Linked DNA regions of Notamacropus eugenii. The protein of the gene in region 1 interacts with the protein of each later gene in a pairwise test. Links are inferred from orthologs where the notes say so. Each region holds a gene or a part of one and is shown on either strand. Other genes may lie near its edges.

The links.
Region 2: the proteins of CCDC33 (region 1) and ZBTB8A interact in a two-hybrid assay, tested with the Homo sapiens proteins (2 studies listed by BioGRID and IntAct). The two-hybrid records come from large-scale screens. The link is inferred for Notamacropus eugenii from reciprocal best matches to the Homo sapiens genes CCDC33 and ZBTB8A.

What each region holds. Positions count from the first base shown.
Region 1 is NC_092872.1:242,197,409-242,208,194, reverse strand, and holds the start of CCDC33 (coiled-coil domain-containing protein 33), read left to right. Parts: upstream 1-6,176; 5' UTR 6,177-6,659; coding exon 6,660-6,680; intron 6,681-10,786.
Region 2 is NC_092876.1:77,434,927-77,445,326, forward strand, and holds the start of ZBTB8A (zinc finger and BTB domain-containing protein 8A), read right to left. Parts: upstream 4,838-10,400; 5' UTR 1,416-4,837; coding exon 1,384-1,415; intron 1-1,383. Other genes in the region: ZBTB8B (zinc finger and BTB domain-containing protein 8B), read right to left, coding at 9,505-9,813. UniProt on the Homo sapiens protein: May be involved in transcriptional regulation.

The DNA of each region.
Region 1 (10,786 bases):
GGGGAGAAGACCATGGGGTCAGGGGTTATAGGTTTAGAACTGAAAAAGACCTCAGAGATATTTTAGACCAGCCCCCTTCAAATCCATTCAATTCTCTTCCAGGGCTGTCTTGGTCATTCTAATTTCTTAGATACCATGCATCCACAAGCAAGGAAGCAGCTCTCTATTTGTTGACTGGCTAACATCTATCCTTTAATGAAAGGAACTACACCCTCCCTTCCACTCTAGCCCCATTACAAACTGAATGTCCTGATTTTCCCCAAGATGTGGGACTAGGCAGTGAACAACCAGCTTCTGAAAAGACCCTCCAGGGCTGACAAATGTCTGTGGCATTATATTGCTCAGGGGGCCATGGTGGTGTGCTCTCTCTCACTCTGTCTAGGGCAGTTCTGCTATGCCCAGGATAAGGTAAGAGACTCAGAGCTGGGAGAGACATCAGGCATCATCTAGTCTCCTCCTCAATTTACAAATGAGGAAACTGAGACCCTGAGAGGAAAAAGGGCTTGGCCAGGCAGTGGCTGAGTAAGAACCAAAGCCACGTCCAGCTGGATGCAGGTGAGCATTTTTGTTTGCTGGAGGTGGAGAAAGGGGAAGAAGAGATCACGATGGAGCATGGGGCTGGTGACACACAAAATAGGCTTCACTATTGGATGAAAGACCAGCTCCCGGGTGTTCCGGTATCAGGCGGGCCAGAGGGGAGGGGCAGGGTGAAGTAGGACAATTTAAGAGAGCCCAGGGAAGCATTGACTTAGAAAAGCTTGTGGGGAATTCAGAGCCTCTTCATTCTCATTACCCCTCTGGCTGTTATTTCGAGGGGTCTCTGGAGAGAGATAAAGCTGCCTCCCACTGCCCCGCCCATCCATCACTCCTTGGGAAGAGCTCTCAGCCCCAGACAAGCTCATCATTCTCTTCCTCAACAAGATTTCTTACACTAGCTTGGGCAGGCCAGGACCTCCTCAGCTCTGGCCCTCCAGGCTGAGCAAACCTGGAGGTACAGGGAAAAGGTGGATCAAGATTCTGGGGTTCAAGGGTAGAAAAGATCAAAAGACCTAGAGTCAGATGAGACCTGGGTCTGAGTCTTGCCATTGGCACTCACTCAGTTTCTTCATCCATAAAATGGGAATAGCAAAAACTAATCTTACTCACAGGGGCATTGTGAGGTAGAAATGACACCACAGGATCCTGAAGAGACTCTGGAGGTCCCCTAGTCCAAGCCCTTCATTTGACAAAGGAGAAGTTAAAAGCCATTTATAAGGTCGTACAAATCAAAACTGGCAAAGCTGAGCTAGTATTAGAACTCAGGTCATCTCACTCCGAAAGTAATATAGGTAAAGCAGTCCAGAAACTTCAAGGTCCAGTAATGGATGTGTATAGCTTCCTTTTTCTCCCCACATTTGTTTTTATTTATGAAATAAAAGAAGCATTTCCATAACATAGTATAATAAAAAGATGATTGCATACGAAGTGCAAATATATTGTGTATTGCTATTCCTTTTAAATATATAATGATCACGTAAATTTCTTTTTTATTTTTTTCCCTTCCCCACCCTAGAGATAATTATCATTAGACACAAATATATATATGTGTGTGTGTGTGTGTATACATATATACATACATATATACATACATATATGTATGTAAATTATTCTATACTTCTTTTTGTTTCTGTTCAGTCACTTTTCATTCTTATCTGACTCTGTGGCCCCATTTGGGGTTTTCTTGGCAAAGCTACTGGATTGGTTTGGCATTTCTTTCTCCAGATCCTTTATAGATGAGGAAACTAAGGCAAACAGGATTAAGCGATTTGCTCAGTGACATATACTTAGTAAGTGTCTAAGGCTGTATTTGAACTCAGTGGACAGAATGCTGGGCCTGGAATGGGAAAGACTCATCTTCCTGAGTTTCCAGGTTTTTCTTCAGAGCTTTATCTTTTCCATTGTGTTATTGCTTAAGTCATTCTCCTAGTTCTGTTCACTTCACTTTGCATCTGTCCATAAAAGTCTTCCTAGATTTTCCTGAAACCATCTCTTCATTTCTCACAGCACAATCGTACTCCATCACATTCAAATACTGTAACTTGTTCAGTCATTCCGGAGTTGAAGAGCATTCCCTCAGTTTCTAATTTTTTGCTGTCACAGAAAGAGCTGCTATAAATGTTTTTGCATGTTTGGTTCTTTTTCTTCTTTCTTTAATCTTTTCGAGGTATGGAATGAGTAGCAGAATTGCTGAATCAAAGGGTATGCAACATTAACATATGTAGCAACATTTGGAGCAGAGTTCCAAATTTGGGCCTATGTAAGACACAGTGCCTAGTATATGGTAAGCGCTTAATAGAGCTTGTTGACTAACTGACCTGTGGAGCAACTACCAGACAACTGAAGGGAGTTTATAATCAATTGATGGAGTTATGGTCAACAAGGGCTGTAAGAGGTCAGAGAAAGGTGGGGTCAGTGTAGCCTAGAGAGGTGAGAGAAGCACTCCTGGAGAGTCAGGACATGAACTTGGCCTCACAGGATAAGCAGGATTCAGAGCAGATAAAGGTGCATCCTAGATCATGGAATCATTCCAAGACTCCAAGAGGACTCATGTAGATAGTGAGGAGACTGACCTGGTGAAAATGGAACATTTATATTGGTGAGTAGCTATGGTTGGACCTCAGTTTTACAATCAATAAAATAGAAAGAATTTCATCTACCTATTTTTTTAGTTAGGCTATGGGTATCAAATGAAAAAATTTAGGGAAGAGAGGGACCTTAGAGACCATCTAACCCAACCCCTTCATTTCTCTGATGAGGTCACAAGGTCATATAAACAACAAACAAGCAAGCCAGGATTTGAATTCAATCCTTCTACACCAAGTCCAGGACTCTTGTCATTATATGACACTCTAAGTCTTTGAAATAAACTCATGGATGGGAAATGATGGGAGGGATAAATTACTAAAGTAAAAGCTCTCTAGCAGCCCCTATATTTATGTTGTCCAGGTAACCCAGTCCTATTCTTCTGTTCAATATTAGTTTCTATTGTCCCCATTTTCCCTGTAGATCCTGAGAACACAGGAGTAGTGCAAAGCTGGCAGATGATTGGATCAGAGAGGTACAGGAAGACTGGCTGCTCCCAAATATCTTCTTTACCAACTGCCTTCTGTTCCTGGAGAGGGGCGGGAAGAGGGAGAGGAGAGGATATTTTATGTTTGTTTATAAATTCTATTTTATTTTATTTTCAGTTCCAAATGTGTTTCTTTCCCTCCTCCTCCCCCACCATTGAGAACAAGACAGAAGCATCTACCATTCTTTGACCTCTGAGTTTTAAATTTAAAATAAGCAAATATTACATGGGGTAGAAAAATATATAGTTATTATCAGTCCTTAACAACTTGGCTGGACTTAGTTCATCAGATTAACCAAAGCTAAAAGCTAAGCCCTGTATCCTTGGAACACAATCTGAAAAGGTTTAGGAGAAGAATGGAATGGGAGAGATGAGAGGGAGAATGAGGAGAAAGGAAGAAGGAAAAAGTCTTGGGGTCCAGTCAGGAGTGGGCCTGGGGAAGTTGAGGGGTAGCAGCAGGCAGATACTGGAGCCATCAGGTTAAAAGGAAAAATGGAATGGAAAGTGGAAAGCAAATCACCTATTTCCTGGTTCCCAGTAGGGCAACTCTTGTTCCCATTGATCCATGGACCAGGGAAACTTTGCTGAGAAATTCCTCTCTGCTTATTGATACTGAGTAGAGAAGGAAGGAAGGGAAAGGGTAAGGGATTAAGTAGGACTCGCAAAACCAGAGAACAGTGTCTGAGCAGAAGGCAGATCCTTGTCTCCTTGATTAACAGCATCAGTCTGGTCCCCCTCAGACTGTTAAAAGCCCTGCTGGTGGGAACATAGCTCTCTGCTGGATAAGCAACTGGACCTTTGACTTTCCTAATGGGCCAGCCCTGTGACCCCAAAGAAGAGAAGGTGTAGGCAGAGTTAGCCTTTAGAAGCTAGCCATTCTTCCCTGAGTAGTCTGGACATAACATCTGGATGTTGTCGCTGTTTGTCCTTCATTCTCAGAGGACCATGACACCAGGAAAGTGATGCTGTGACTTGCAAATGAATTGGATTTAAGTGACAAGGGCTGTGCACCAGCTTCACTTTCTCCTCCACAGACTTCTAGGTCCAGTGGTCAGATATAAATCAGATAGCCCCCATCAGGATGGGGAAGAGAGTCATTGGAAGGTCTCATCCTTCTGAGGAAATATCAACAAACATAGAATCATGGGCCGAATCAGCACGATTTGCCTATAGGGAATGAGTGAGAGTGGGGAGTTCAAGAGCACTCCAAGGTTGGTGTGGATCTCACCCTTGTTACTGGAAGATTATTAGCACCACCTCAGAAGAAAATAGGAATCTAAGAGGAAAGGGAAAGTGGTGGGGAGTGGGAGTGGGAGGGGGGCAATATATTTTGTACTTCTCGAGTTTGAAGTACCTATAGGACATCTAGGGGCACATATCCAGCAAGGAGTTGGAGATGCTGGACCGCAGCATTTAAAGCTCTTCCTGAGCTGCCTCCTCCTTTTCCAGACTTCTTACACCTTATTCCCTTACTTCCCCATCCCTTCACTTTGTCTGAGATCCAATGACACTGATCTCCTGTCTATTCCTCAGACTGGCCACCCCCCCCACCCCATACCTGGAACATACTCTCTCTGTATCTCTATCTTCTAGACTCCCTGAATTCTTTTGATGCTCAGTTGAAGTCCTATGTTCTACAAGAACTTAATATTAATCTTAATGTCTATCAAGAAAAATCTTCCTGAGCTCACATCCAGCCTCAGATGCTTACTAGTTGGGTGATCCTGGGAGAGTCACTTCATCCTGTTTGCCTCAGTTTCCTCATCTGTAAAACGAGCTGGAGAAGGAAATGGCAGACTGCTCAGTATCTTGGTCAAGAAAATCCCAAATGGGGTCATGGAGAGTCAGACATGACTAAAATGATTGAACATGCACAATTCCCTTTGAGGTTACCCCCAGTTTCTATCTTATTTGTACCTAACTTATTGGCTTGTCTCCTCCATTAGGCTGTGAGCTACATGAGAACAGTCATTTTTTTAACCTTTCTTTGTATCCTCAGTGCTTAGCAGAATGCCTGGCATATTGTGAGCACTTAATAAACTCTAATCGACTAAATGAAATTCAAGAAAATGATGAGAGCTTACTTTGTAGATATTAGAGGCATCTGCGTAGAAGGAAAGAGAAAGGAACCTACTATGTGCCAAGCACTCTACAAACATTATCTCATGACCCTCACAATAACCCTAGGAGGTGGGGGCTATTATTACTCCCATTTTATAGATGAGGAAACTGAGGCAGACAGAGGTGAGGTGACTTGCCTACAGTCACACAACTATGAAGTGTTTGAGGCAGGATTTGGACTCAGGTCTTTCTGACTCCAGGCCTGGTGCTCTATCCACTAGGCCACTAGCTGATGGTTGAGTCCATGGGGCCTAAGGAAGTCACCAATGGAAACTATAGAAAGGAGAAAAGTGAACCCTGATGTTCCTGTTCACCTGGGGGCTGGGCCATGGATGATGAGCCTGTGGGGGAGATTGAGGGGATTGGTCAGATAGGTAAGAAGGAGGGTCATAAAAACCTAGGGAGGAGAGAGGGGCCCAAAAGCATCAAATGCTCCAGAGAAGTGAGAAATCAAAATAAGTCAGACATATGCATTGATTTTGCTTCCCCAGCCCAAATATAAACTTCCGAAGGGCCAGGAGACATCAGTCTTCTTATTAATTCTCCAACATCACTAGCAAGTGGTCACCCCAATTCTCCTTAAAGATCTTGGTAACAGGGAACTCACTACTTCCTAAGGAAAAGCAGCTCCTCTTTTGGTCAGTGATAATTGGAAGAAAGTTCTTCCTTCTATTAAGCTGATCTCTGCTCCCCTGTCCTCTCTTCCCATATTCCCATCTCCCTCAATTTCTATCCTTTGCTTCCAATTCTGCCTTGGGCAAAGCAGAGTAACTCTGATCCTTCTTTCATATAACTACCTTCAAGAGTGAACTCATCTGTACAAATAAGGGGGCTTGAATGGAGGACTACCAACTCTAGGACTCTAACATCAAATATTAACAACTTACAAGTCTATGAGTGGGTGGTTTCCCTGTGCTCTCATTTACCTCTGACATCACATAGCATCACTATGGCAACAGAACCAACCCCCAACCCCTCAGGGGAGGGAAGAGTAGGTTCCCCAGATCTCCGTGAGAGCAGGGAGACAGTGTCACCCCTTGTCATTCATGGGGGGACGTAAAGACTAAGGATGCTTGGCTACTGACCCTGCCATACCCCCCCCCATTGACTGCCATGTCTGTGGCCCCTGATGGCATTGCCAGACCTGGAATGCCCCTACACTAAGGAAGACATCCAGCCACAGTTCTGCCACGTCCACCGCTGTCTCTGGCCACCAGAGCCCAGTGGACCACACAGCCTCTAGCTATTGCTCAAACCTACCTCAGGGGATGTCCGTGCCTGTGTCATTGCTCCACAGACTTGGAGACATCTGTGCCAATTCCCAGGTGGAGTGGGACTGATTCTAGTTGACCCAGAAGTGCCAGACATTAGCACGCAAGATTATTAATTGAGCAGGAATCCAACAAGAAAGCTTCTACTCTGAAAGAGAATGGGATGGAGCAAGAAAAGGGTAAGCCTATTATCCATTAGTTCTGTGAGTTTCAGTTTTTCACTTCCCCACTATAAGCCTCAGTTTTCTTATCTGTAAAATGGAAGAGACAACAGATAACTGTACCCATCTGGTTCTAATATCCTACCAATCCAATGTGTGCCTAATACAATAGGGTGGTCTAACTTTCAAGTAGCAAAATCATAGGGCCAGAAAAGTATCTAGAGAATTTCCCCAACTCCCTTTTCTAGCCTAGGATTGAAGAACTCAGGCAACAAATAAGTCTTTACTGAGCACTTCCTATGTGCCAGGCACTATGTGAAATGCTGGGAATATACATACAAGCAAAAAGTAAGACAATCCTTGTTCTGGAGGACCTTACATTTTTTTAAATTTAAATTTTCAGTTCCAAATTCTCTTCCTCTCCACCCCTCCCCCACTCATTGAGAAGGTAAGATATACAACACTCATTATACATATAAAGTCATGCAAAGTAATTTCACATTAGACATGTTGCAAAAAAGAAAAAAAGCAAGAAAAATAAATTAAGAAAAAATATGCTTCCATCTGAACTCTGAGACCATCATTCCTCTGTCTGGAGATGGATGGCATTTTTCATAATGAATCCTTTTAAATTGTTGTGGATTATTTTATTGATCAGAGTAGCTAAGTCTTTCACAGTGAATTATTGTCACAATATTGCTGTTACTATGGGCACTGTTTTCCTGGTTCTGCTTACTTCCCTTTGTATCAGTTTATGTAAGTCTTCTCAGATATTTTCTGAAACCATTTCCTTCATCATTTCTTACAGCACAATAGTATTCCATCACAATCACATACCACAACTTGTTCATTCATTCTCTGAGCATCCTCTCACCTTCCAGTTCTTTGCCACTACAAAAAGAGCTGCTATAAATATTTTTGTGCATGTGGGTCTTTTTCCTTTTTTCTTAGATCTTTTTGGGATACAGACCTAATAGCTGCTTCAAAGGATTTTATAGATCTCTATAGATCCCAAATTGTTCTCCAGAATGGCTGGATCAGTTCACAACTCCACCAAGAGTATATTAGTGTCTCTGTTTTTCCACCTCCTTCCAGCATCTGTCATACGCCTTTGCTGTCAAAATTAGCCAATCTGATAGGTGTGACATAGTACCTCAGAGTTGTTTTAATATGCCTTTCTCTAATTGTTAGCGATTTAGAGGATTTTTTCAGAAGACTATAGATAGTTTTGATTTCTTCTTCTGAAAACTGCTTGTTCATATCCTTTGATCATTTATCAATTGGAGAATGGTTTCTTGTTTTTATAAATTTGACTCAGCTCCCTATATATTTGAGAAATTAGACCTTTATCAGAGAAATTTGCTGTTAACAAATTTCTTCCCAGTCTCTTGCTTTCAGTGTCTACATTGGTTTTATTTGTGCAAAACTTTTTTATTTAATATAAACAAAATTATCCATTTTATCTCCTTTGATCCTCTCTGTCTCTTTTTTGGTCATGAATTCTTTCCTTATCATAGCTATAACAGGTAATTTTTTTGTATTCCTCTTATTTGCTTATGGTATCAACCATTATGTCCAAATCATGTCCCCATTTTGAGTTTATCTTCATATATAGAGTGAGATGTTGGTCTATGCCTATTTCTGTCATTCTGCTTTCCAGTTTTCCCAGCAGTTTTTGTCAAAGTGAGTTCTTGCTCTAATGGCTGGGATCTTTGTGTATATCAAACACTAGATTATTATGGTTGTTTATTTTTGTATATTATGGACCTAATTTATTCCATCAATCAGCCACTCTATTTTTTTCTTAGTACCAGATTGTTTTGATGATAATCACTTTGTAGTACAGTTTGAGAGCTAGTATTGCTAGGCTCCCTTCCTTCATTTTTTCATTGATTCTCTTGATATCCTGAAACTTTTGCGCCTCCAGATGAATTTTGTTATTTTTTCTAGCTCTTTACAATAATTCTTTGATAGTTTGATTGGCATGATATTGAATAAGCAAATTAATTTAGGTAACTGTCATTTTTATAGTACTGCTCAGGCTACCCACAAACAATTAATATTTCTTCAATTATTTGGATTTGTCTTTATCCGTATGAAGAATGTTTTGTAATTGTGTTCATATGAGTTCCTATGTGTGTCTTGGCAGGTATATTCCCAAGTGTTTTCTACTGTCTACAGCTAATTTTAAATGGAATTTCTCTTTTTATCTCTTCCTGTTGGGTTTTATTGACATTATGCAACTCTACCTCACTTAAATCCAGTTTGTGCACTGGTCAAGACATCACCCCATGGTGTCATTGGTCTTCTTTGAAAGCAAAGGACCAGCAACAGATAGATACTACTTATCATTTTTTAAAAAAAGCTCCATTTATTCCTATGCTTTCTGTTGTTTTTAATGGGAATGGAGGTTGCATTTTGTCAAAAGCTTTTCTTACATCTATTGACATATGATTTTTTTGTTGTTTTTATTATTAATATGGTCAATTATGCTTATAATTTTCTCAATACTAAACTTTTCTGGGAGTTTACATTCTAAAAGACAACATACAAAGAGGAGCTGAGAAGCTGGGTCATGTGGGGAGAGGAGGTTCCCAGCTAGCCCATGATCTCATACTGGCCCATACTTCTCCAATTTTGTCACCTGCATAAGTCTTCTCTCTCTAGCTAGGCTATGAGGTCCCTAAGGAAAGAGATCCTGGTCTTCCTCTCTGCTGATGAGCTCAGTGCATGGGAGTCACTGGGATGAGACTGATTGATGCTAACTGGAAATTCCGGTTATGATGCAGTGTGAGGGAAAACATTTATCAAGTGCCTGCTATGTGTACTTCAAATGAGTTACAAATATATAATTTGATTATCGTAAATTGAGGATAATAATATTGATTGTATCTTCCACACAGAGTTTTTGAGAGGTTCAGATGGGTTCTTGTTTATTTAGAGGCAGCATGGTATAAAGCAGATAGAAGGCTGGACTTAGGAGTTGGGAAGTACTGGGTTCGAATCCCATCTCAGGAACTTACTAGCTGTGTGACCCTGGACGAGTCCTCTCTCTTGGGTAGTTGTAGATAACAGGTGGACTACTGCCTATGAGGCTTTGTAAACCTTCCAGAGCTATGCTAATGAAAATAACTAGCCCTGAAGGGGTTATTTATTATATATCAGTATATATGCATATATATGTATGCATGTGAGTATATATATATATATAGTACATACGTACATATGTACATATTTATGACAGCCCTTTGGTACCTGAGTTTCATCTATTTCTGGCATTCATGCAAATGCTTAACATCAAGATGGATTTTCTCAAAGGTAATTATACAGTTAAGGGTCCAATTTTTCTTCTCTTCTCACCTCCAGAAATCTGTTTGTTACACATGCAAACAAGCCAAGCAATTACTCTAGTGTTGATTCATGCCGTGTTCAAATTTCATAATTTCTGGAAGGCTTTCATTGGGGGGAGGAGTGGGGGACTCTCACCATGGAGACAGCTAATCAACACTTCCCAATGTTCCTGAAAATTGACACTACTTTCTGCTCTGGGCTCATAGTCCCTACCCCCCACCACTTCATGTGGAGGGTCAGCCACAGGCATTGGAAAGATCTGCTCAATTTAAAGGGGTTTTGTCATCAGGCGGATTGTTAGCTATTATAGTCCTGTTGCCAATAAGATCCATCTGGGGCTATGGACTTTTAAAGAGACATTTGCATATCATTGGCAAAAGTGGTAATGAGCTGATATAAAAACACCCTATGAGCCCTTGGGGAAACTGGAGATTCAGATGAACCCATGGTCTGTCTTCTCTTTGTGAACTATTTTTCCTCTTCCATGGTGCCCTTAATCCCAAAAGAACTTTAGGAAGGTATATGCTCTAAAAGACACTTTGTGGCTAACAGTCCCTGGGGCCCCTCTCCCAGAACCCTGTGTGTACTAAGCCTGAGAGTTCTCCTCTACCCCCTAGTGAAAGGCTTTGTCCTCAAGGAAAGGGATTTCAGGCCTAAGCCAGCAGGGGGAAAGGATATTTCCTAAGCTAAATTGTTAAATTCTTCCTTATATTAATAATCTATCTTGAGAGAAAGGAGTCATGCATGTTGACTATGTAGTACAATGTGTAGGC
Region 2 (10,400 bases), on another chromosome or scaffold:
AGAATCCCATCCTTAATAATGCTACCAGTTATATCAATAGCTGTACTCCCTTCCACAGGAACACAGATCATAAAGTCCTGTTCCTAGCCCTGATCAGTTATTCATGAGCTAAGGGGAGTTACTAATGTCCCTGGCTTGACTTATTTCCCAACCAATTGGTTCAGTTAGATTCTGACAGGAAGAAATAATTCCAAAAGACATTACAGGAGACTTTATTAGTGGTACTCAATAGGAAGGAATAGAGAATATGGGGAAAGGTTCCCACTCAGAGAATTAGGTTATATCTCTGGGAAGAAAGAGCTGATCCCTGGGCATTAGCTGATGGTAGGATAGAAACATGATGTCAAAGAACTATCAGTGATTGTTCTACTGGCTAGGAATTTGAATGGGGTTTTTATAAGATTTTCAAGGATATTCCCACACCCATCTGCATGGTAGTAGGGGTCTATCTCCCAGGGCAGGGAAAGTAAATGCCTGCTCAGCATTCTGACCTTGGACATCTTGTTACAACATGGGCCTTATACCAAGAAACAGGGAAGAAGATGTTCTCTTATCAAGATACATTGTGAGGAAAGCCCAAGGTTGGTGTAGGGGGAATGGAAGGAGATCAGCAACCCAGCTGCTAAGTTTCCATAGCAAATTAAAACTGTGTCACAAGTCAGAGTTACAAGATGAATCACACAGAAATTTCTATTTCTACTATAACAATACCTCACCTCCTTGAAGACAACCGTCAGGTCCCTACTAAGTCTTCTCCATCTTTCAAAAGATCATCATATGACATAAACTCAAAACCTTTCATCTTAGCTGCCCTCAGAGTCATTCCTATACTGTGGTAGCACACAGAATAAGACATACCACTTTTATTTGACAAGAGCAAAGTGCCACAGAATTGTTACTTCCTTACTCCAGGAAATCTTTCCTCTCTTTACACTGTCAAAGATTGCATTAGCATTCTTGGCTACTGTATTTCACTCATGATTCAAATTGAACTTGCAATCCACTAACCCCCACCAGATCTTTTTTGGATGAACTATTATTTAATCGACCATCCTGAAATAAAAACCAGTCCAAATCATCAAATATGCATTTGGGTCATTGGTTTGTTGGTACCAAACTGAACATGTTCCTGTCCACAAGAAATTGAATGTTACATGCTGGCATTTAGCCCCCCCAAAAAAATTCATTTTCTAAAACAATACAGTACCCGAAGTATAGTTTGAGGGAGAAAGAAGGGAAGGATAGACCCAAATTCTCTTGTCCAGCTAAGTCATTTATTCCACTTTGTATTTTTTTCCACAGTAAAAAACAAAACAGAATTAGATCACATAATAACAATAGGCACAGATCAAGTACATTAAAAACATTACAGTATAGACCAACCTAGGAATGCACCACCGTAGATTATTCCCCATCCTGTTGAGGGAAAGGTGCCTCTTGCTGCTTTCTGATAGTCCAGATCATTTACAGCTTTGGTGTGTTTTGCCTTCTAATGTCTTCAGCTCCCTTCCGCAAATGCATTTATCTATCAGAAGAACTGGCCAACTCACTGGATGTCAGACTGGATGTCAGTTTCCTTTTCCTTTAGATGGTTTATAGGAAATGCAGAGCTGTCATGGTCCAGAGATCTGCAACTGTGGCTCTAAGTTCTTCCTCAGGTTTCTGGATCATCTACCACAGTTACTGTTTCTATTATTACACACTGTATTGCCAAAGAAGTAAGCTGCCATCTTCAATCAAAATCTCTAATCACCTCATTGGAGAAACAGATTAGCAAAAATTCCATCTCCAAAGGGAGACTGGTAGTCTCTTACACCATGAGACCAAGACATGAACAGAGATATGAATAATACAATAATTTTTCTTTTCAAAGTACAGTTCATAAAACTAGCCTTCATTTGGCTTCTTTCAAGTCTCAGCTAAAATCCCACCTTCTGCAAGAAGCCATTTGTATGCCTCCCTAATCTTAATGCCTTGCCTCTGAGTCATCTCCAATTTACCCTGGATATATCAATTACATATAGTTGTTTGCACGTTGTCTCATGTTTCATGTTACCTCCTTGAGAGTGAGGGCTGTCTTTTGTTGGTTTTGCCTTTCTTTGTCTCTGCAGTGCTTATATAGTGCCTAACACATAGAAGGCACTTAATAAATGCTAGCTGATTGACTGAATGATTCTATTTTGTGATATGTTGCTTTGCCTCAACTAAAGGCTAATAATAGTGATGAGGAGGAGGAGGAGGACAGCATGTATATAGTGCCTTAAGGCTTGCAAAGTGATTTACATTCATTAGTCTTTCCCATAAAGCAAGTGTCATCCTCATCTCAGTTACAGGAAATCAAACCCAAAACCTGAATACGAATGAGGCCCAAGTAAACAAAAGATGTGCAGCTAAGAGCAAAGAATCTATAATTTCACACTCACAATGTGCATAAGCAACCCTTTACATGTTACCAGCCCCACTGGTGTGGTGATAAAGTAGTTCTAGGGAAATGCTGCTAAGGCAGAACGTTACAGACAGCACCAAGTACCACAAAAACAACACTGTCACTCAGTGGTAAGTACAGGGTCGCACAGCTTTCCCATGGAACTTGTTTACAATGGAAGCAGTACGGTCCAGGTAAAAAAAGTATTAGATGTAGGGTCAAAAGAGCTGAGTTCAAATCCCATATCTGCCACTTAATATCTGTGTAACTTTGGGCAAGTCATTCACTTCTTTGGGCCCAGTTTCCTCATCTCTTAAACAAGGGGCTCCCTTGTAGGTGAGCCCAAGGATTCCTGCCTGCTCTAAACCTGTGATCCTGCCAAAAATGGGAAAGTTCCTTACTCAGCCCAAGCTTTCCAATGATCTACTTGAGTTACTACATGTACTAGAAGGGACAGGACATTCCTGTACCCAGACTGGCTTTTGAGAATACATTGCCAAATAAGATAACGAAAGTCTTTTTATGCTAAAGGCTAGAGATGTTTTCATTCTAAGCTTTTTGTTTCGGCTTCATAATGTGATTCAGCATAAGCCAAGCAGGAATAATGGTACCTTAGGTATCATCCCCTTTTCTTCCCAAGCTCATTTTCTAAATGAGATGCTAATTTGGACCCTTGCTGGCCCCAGATTCATTTTTATCTTAGAATAGATAGAATTTTCTTCTGACTAACACATGGAATACTCCTTGGGGAGAGAGGAAGGAGGAGTAAGTAATAAAAACAGACATTCATTTTTCACTGATAGTCGAAGCAACTACTATAAAGGCCTTTTAGAAAAACTTAGATAAAGGATGCTGTCAAAGATGCTGTCCTTCAGATGCACTAAGATCCCAAACACTGGAGATACATTTTTATTTTAGACACAGTAATAACATGGGAGATATTGGCTAGTGAAGATGACTGGTCATTTTTTCTTAGCTTCAAACAAGACAGCCCCACCCAGTCTCTTGAATCATGCACAATTAACGTTTCTCAATGAGTACTGGGTTCATCCTGTAATGTTGTCACAAGGGAAATTTGAGGATCTTATTTCACCATTTTTTTCCACAGGGGAGACCAAGACCATGAATATATGCAAACAACAACCCACAATACTCATTTAAAGTAAATGGTTCACGTTGGATCTAATATTCCTATTTCATTCAGAGCTTGGACTTTTCTGGTTGTTGATCTGCCTGTGCATCAAACACAACAGAACTAAATAAACTTTCTGGTACTGAAGGGCATAGTGTGACACAACAGCTATAACACTGGTCCTAGAATCAGAATTTCTTGGATTCTAGTCTCAGCCCTGAGTGACTTTAGGCAAGGCACTTCATCCTTCTGGGCTTCAGTTTCATCATCTCTAAAATCGAGATAAAGATACTTTTACCAGTGCCAAATTGAGAGAGTGGACAGAGGTCCCATTTGGAAGTCAGGAAGACCTGGATTAAATCCTGCCTCTAACAGATACTCTTTGTTTGATCCTGGGCAAGTCACTTACCTTCCTGGTGCCCCAGGTAGTTCTCTAAAGGTGTAAGTCACAGAGCAGTTGCTGATCTCTATACCAATGAAATCACAGGTCTCATCCAAAACAAAAAACAAAAATGCTTTCACTACCTAACTCACAGGATTGTTATGAGGAAAGTACAGTGGAGTCTCAAAGTGCTATAGCAATGTGAGCTATTATTTGATTCTTGACCTCTTCTTGTCCAACTTTAAAGTTGGCAGGCCATGTCCAACACAAGACAAGTGTATATAATCACATGAGGTCCCAGTCATGTTTTCCTCTGCACAATGGCTGACCACCTCCTTCCAAAATAGTTTACTGATGTACTTACGTGACAGCAACACAATTTGATGGGAAGCACTAGACTAGCAGTCACAGAAGACATATATTCTCGTCCCAGCTCTACCACCATGTAGCGCTGTGTGACTGTAAAATGTGTTCCCTTTTATGGCCCCTAATATTTCCCTTTTAGAAATGATTATATCCTAAGTGGCTCTAGCTAGGTAGTACAATGTAGAGCACTATAGGAGTAAGGAAGTCTCATCTTCCTGAGTTCAAATCTGGCCTCAGATACTTACTAGCTATGTGACCCTGGGCAAATCACTTAACCCAATTTGCCTGAATTTTTTCATCTGTAAAATGAGCTGGAGAAGGAAATGGCAAACCACTCTGCCAAGAAAATCTCAAATGGAAGCAGGAAGAGGTGGACGTGACTGAACAACAAACAAGTGGCTCCTAGCTCTGACATTCTATGACTAAGTGCAAGGTATCTGATGACTATTCAAGGTCATCGGATAATTAAGTCTTGAATCAGCAGAAAATTCATTTCTATAATGTACTGAAGACCAAGAGTGGTAATAATGGGTCACATTTTTATAGTCTTTGCAGTATAAAAATCATCCTTCTCATAGCAACCCCGGGAGGTAGGGAGTACTAACAGATAATACTGCTCTGAGCTTTTTACAAGTGATCCACAGAATTTAAGAGCTGGAAGGGACCTCAGTAGCCATCTGGTCCACCCTATACTTAAGGGAAAAAAGGAATCTCCAGTATAGTATACTAGACAAGTAATCATCTAACCTCTGCCCAAAGCCCTCCAAAAGGAGGGGGAGCTCACCTGTCTCTAAGAAGTCCGTTTTACTTCTGGACAGCTCTTATTGTTAGAAGTGTTTCCTGACAGCATTTCTTACACTGGCTTCTTTGTACCTTTTCCTCGTTGCCTTCGCTTTTATTCTTCCGGGTTCAAAAAGAAAAAGCCTACTCTCTCTTTCTAATGATGAAACTTAGATCCAGACAGAGAAAACAACTCCTCCATAACCATCCAGTTAAGAACCACGAGACCCAGGTCGTGCTATTTTGAGTCCAATGTCTTTACCTATACAATGCTTACTCACCCTTAAATGTCCACTGTGAATGTTGATAATGATAAAGCTAACATTTACATAGGACATTTATAAAGTGTGCAAAGCACTTTTCATGTTATTTCATCCTCACAGCAACCGTATAAAGTAGGTACACTTATGTTCCTATTTTACAGATGTGGAAACAAAGATTGAGGGCAGTTAAAATACTTGTCTAGCATCACACAGCTGAAGGCTGAGACAGGATATGAACTCAGTTTTTTCTGACTACAAGTCTACTGTACTACTTAGCTGCCTCTCTGTCCTTGGGAAAATACCATGCTTTTCATTTGCCACTTGAAGGTGCCCAAATAGAAAGGGTTTTCTTTGCTATCTCCTCAGAAAAGGGCATATTAGACACAAAGCAATCTACCTATACTCAAAGTGGTTTTCCTTCTTCCTCAGAAAGTGCCATGTGAGAAGGAGGATGTCTTTTCAGCCCTATAAAGGAGGTGCAGTAGAACTTGGCTAACAGCAAGAGAACTTGGTAGATTGACCAAACAGTACAAGGAAACAAATCAATGCAAACATGGCCTGGGCCAAACAAAATAGTAAAGTGCATAATTTTCCAAATGGGATGATGAACTCTGCAGGAAAATGAAAGGCCAACCTAGCCAAGCCCCCAGGGCTATAGGACTCTCTGCTCAGAGTGCCCTGGGAATGTTTCTCTTAACCTAACCCTTTAAAGGCCCCAGCATCCCCAGAGGATTTCACAAGGATAATCCTATTCTCTCTACACAAGGAAATCTCTAGGCCCAAATAAAGTCATCTGAATGGTCTGATAGGCTTATTCCTGTATCTAGTCTTGGCTTCATTGTATGTAGGCCTTTCTGCCTGTTCTCTCCTCCCCTTGTGAGTTGGGTATGACTGCACCATATTTCCAGGACGTTCTCCATGTTAAGTTTGACATGACCTAGGATGGCCAGAAGTTTTCATTCTACAGTAGAACTGTGGACCATGGATCAGCACCTCACTAAGAATGTTCAGTGTCTAGTGACCACTCATATATTTACACCGAGCAGCAACTCTTGGCCAAATGACCAGACAGTAGGATTCCTTAGCCTACTACAACTAATCTGTATTTACATTCCAAACCCACCCACCCCACCTCCATCATGAGGAAGGCCTGTCCCCACTATCCATGGACCCCACTTCAAATTCCATTACACACGCAAATCCTCCTTCTTCTCCTCTGCTCATAATTTCTACAATTCCAGGTTTCTTTTTAATTTCTTGGGGAACTTGGATTGAATGTACAGAAAGAAAAGGGTTCATCAAGACTTCCCTGTGGGACACAAAATCTCAATTACTACTGGCACAGCTGTGAATTTACTGCTTATAAAAACATTACCAGCTCCATTGAATGACAGTTCAGAGGCAATAACAAAAGCTCAGAAATATCTCCTATGTGGACAGTAATTCAAAATAAATAGACATTTAGTTTACGAACTGATACTGCACATAAAAAAACACACCTCCTCCAGCAAGATGACAGAACCCAGTGAGCTGAGTATAATCACGAATGCCACTGTTTCTAGTGAGGATATTACTCTCCAGAATTGAGATGAAGGGGAAATAATGGGCCATCTATGACCATAATAGGTTGAAACATTATTATGGAAAGGTCCTCTATCCTGGGGAAATCTTTCAAGGATGAAATTTCACATCCCATTTTCTCCAAGCCACTCTGCTACTTTCAAATTCAGTAATGATCCATTTACTGGGCTGAGGATACACCTCAAAGCCTGGATTTCTTCAATTCTTCTTCTTCACCTGAAATGAACTATCACCTTGGGCTAGTTACCTGCCATCTATACCTTTGCAAAAAAGGGAAGCCAGCCACTTCCCAAGGCTTTAGAAGGGTGGAATTAGGGAGGGTGTGTCAAGCATTCTTGATTCTGGAATACAGGGTATGAAAAGGATGAACTACTGACATTCTTCCATTTCTAGGATGTATTCCCCATCCTACTGGATCTTATAGAGAAGTCCCCAATGGGCATTTATGTTTTTATGCTGAGGAATACAGACAGGTTATAAGGTCCCAAACAGGACTGTGATCTTATATAGGTGCAAAAGCTAGACTGCGAGGTAGAAAAATCTCAAACATTTAAAGTTTAATCACTGAAAACTGCTTTCTGTATATCCCTCCAACACCAAAAATTTAGGGTTTCTCTGTCTTATTAAGATCTCTCCTATTAAGATCTCTCCTTTAAAACAACAGGAAAGAGTGCCCGGTTTTTTATATTAAGGAAAATGTTTCTAGCATTGACTCATTTTTTAATAGTAAACCTCACTCCAATTTTTTCTTCCAACAGCCATAAATCTGGCTCTTTCTTTGGCTAGCTATTTAAGCCCATACTGTACTAACCTCTTTGCAGTGACTTGCTGGTTCAAAGTAATTTACCAATAAATCATTTCTAGGCTCCTAGCTAATTCCATAAGGCATACAGTCAATTATGTACTCAGGAGGCTGAGAACAAAATTACTGTACTACCTTCAGGAAAACACATTTATACCTTAAGAGAAGGCAAAGAATCAGGCCACAATGTAAATTTAACCAGTGTGCCCAATTAAAAAGACGGCTTTATTACCCAAGATTTCCTTAATCCTCTAAATAGCCATATTCACCAGAGCCCCAAGAAGACTGCAAAGAGGGTGGAAGAATATAGTGGATCTCACAAGCATTTCTCTTCACCCTGTGTGCCTCCCTATGTCCCTTGTGGAAGCTTTGAAAAGATCATGGGGACAGGACACTAAAACTTGCTTTTTACGCTTCTGTTCTAACATTCTATTGGAATGCTAGCTTGGCGTTAGAGTCATTGGGTTTGAACCCCCGTAACATAATCTCTGGGACTCAAGATTTTTCTGTAAAATGGACTAGACATCTATGACCCTGTGGAATGCTTCTGGAATCACAAAACATGTGCTAGGTGGGGGGCGCCACTGAACTTCAAAGGCTGGAAGAGTTCTATCACTGATCCCTTGTATGATTCGGGACAAACCATTTGACCATTAGGGTTTCAGTTTCCTCACCTGTAAAATGAGGGGTTTGGACTCAATCATCTTTAAGATTCCACTCAGATTTAACATTCGGTGAGCTGCCACAGGGGCTCTGCTACCGGCCATGTAAGGCTCACTTTATAGTGCGTCCTCAGAGAGGGAGCAGGACAGCCCTTTGATTTATTATGAAAAATTGCTATCAGTGTCTTCTGAGTTTATTATGTGCTTTCCATGCTTACCTACTTAATCAACATATTACAGACTCTTGAGTCCTAGAATTTTAGATTCCTCTGAAAACTTGAAAAAGGGAATCCTGGAGCCACCAAGTCCTTAGATGCTGGCATCTTGGAACTTTCAAATCTTGAGATCATAGAATCCTGGAATCTTAGAGTTGGGAGGAGACTTAGATATCTGTCACAGAGCTTCCTTGTCCATCACCTCTGGATAGACGTCTTATTTTACATTCAAGTGTTTTACTGGTTTTCAGAATTAACTCCTCATTTAAACCCTTACACTAAAATAAAATTTAGAATTCACAGTATCTGAATTGAAAAAACCCCTCTTTGATGGAAGCACCATCAAAAGAGAGTCACAGTTGAACATTTTGGCTAAACTCCAAATTAGGCCCAAAGTAAAATATCCTCTTAGCCATCTTTTCTCAGAAAAAATGTAGTAGTTGCAGGATCAAAAGTGTGTGTGTGGGGGGAGGGGGTGTATGTGTGTTCATATATGTATGTAAGAGAGGGAGGGTCAGAGGTTCTGGTAGCTCCCTGGGGAGAGAAATAGGAAAACAAATAAGGAAATTCTTTCCTACCTACAAAGAGAACCACCTTCTCTCCCAGTCAGGATTCAAACCCACAGCAGTGAGAAAAGGGAGCTGAAAAACACAGCCACAGCTTGACCAGAATGAGAAATTGGTTGATAGAAATACCTCAAAATTATAGTGCACAGCACTGAAGAGTGAAGAAACATTTCAGAATCACAAAAGCCAACCCCTGCCTTGTGTTCTATCAAAAATGTAAATGTGGTCATCGTTTAAAAAAAAAAAAATCCTCTTAGGGTTCCATAAAACTGAGTCCATGGAATGACCAGTCATAAGGAGGACATTAAAAATCCTCCTCCCCATTTATTGCTACATCAGTGCCTCTCGGTCCAGAAGGCTTCGATGCAGTTGACGTTTATCATCGGAATCATCTCCAGTGGGATCGTTTTCTTCCCCAGACTCCACATATATTGGCCATTCACTGTCTGTATCACCCTTCTCCTGCCCCTCAGAGGATGCCTCCATCTGGCTCAGGTTGATAGGTACTGGGTCATCTTGTGGATTCGTAATACATGTACAGCTGTCACATAAACCAAACCTCCGCAGTCCCTGAGACAGGCTGCTTGTGAAGGTTCTCCGGCAACCCTTGCAAATGATTGGTCGATTGGAGCGATGGACCTAAAACAAGGAACAGAATTTCCTGGTGAAAAGAGTGGATGAGCTCAGTAGTGAGAGTGATGTTGGGAGAGGGTGACAGGACTAGGGCTGGAGAGTGGCAAGGACAAAGGAAAGTGGCTCCCCGAAGTGTAAATGAAAAGGGCACGAGAAAAGCTTAATATTCTGACCTCAGTACTTCAAAAGGAGCCATGACACTATGGTTGTGGTCAGCTCTTCCCCTGATACAGACCCCAACCCCTGGCATGTGTCCTGGGGGACAGTCTTGGTGAATGGTGGCCAGTCTTCTGGGAGTGAGCCTCTCCACACCTATGTAGGCTTGCCTTCAGAAACAGACAGACTGGGCCCATCGAGACAATGCTTTAAGCAACATATATATATCCATTGTTGCTATTATTACTCAGCATTTCTAGATTACTGGGACTTGCCAAATCTTAGGCTCCACTGGCACAGCCTTTGTCAGGTCACCAAAGAGAACTCTGATCTTACTGGAGCATCATACAGATGGAGGAGCTGAAGCCAGAGGCACAATCTGAGGAGGAAGAGGACCTTTAAAATTCCATTTTATGTGGCTGTGTGGTAGAAAGCAC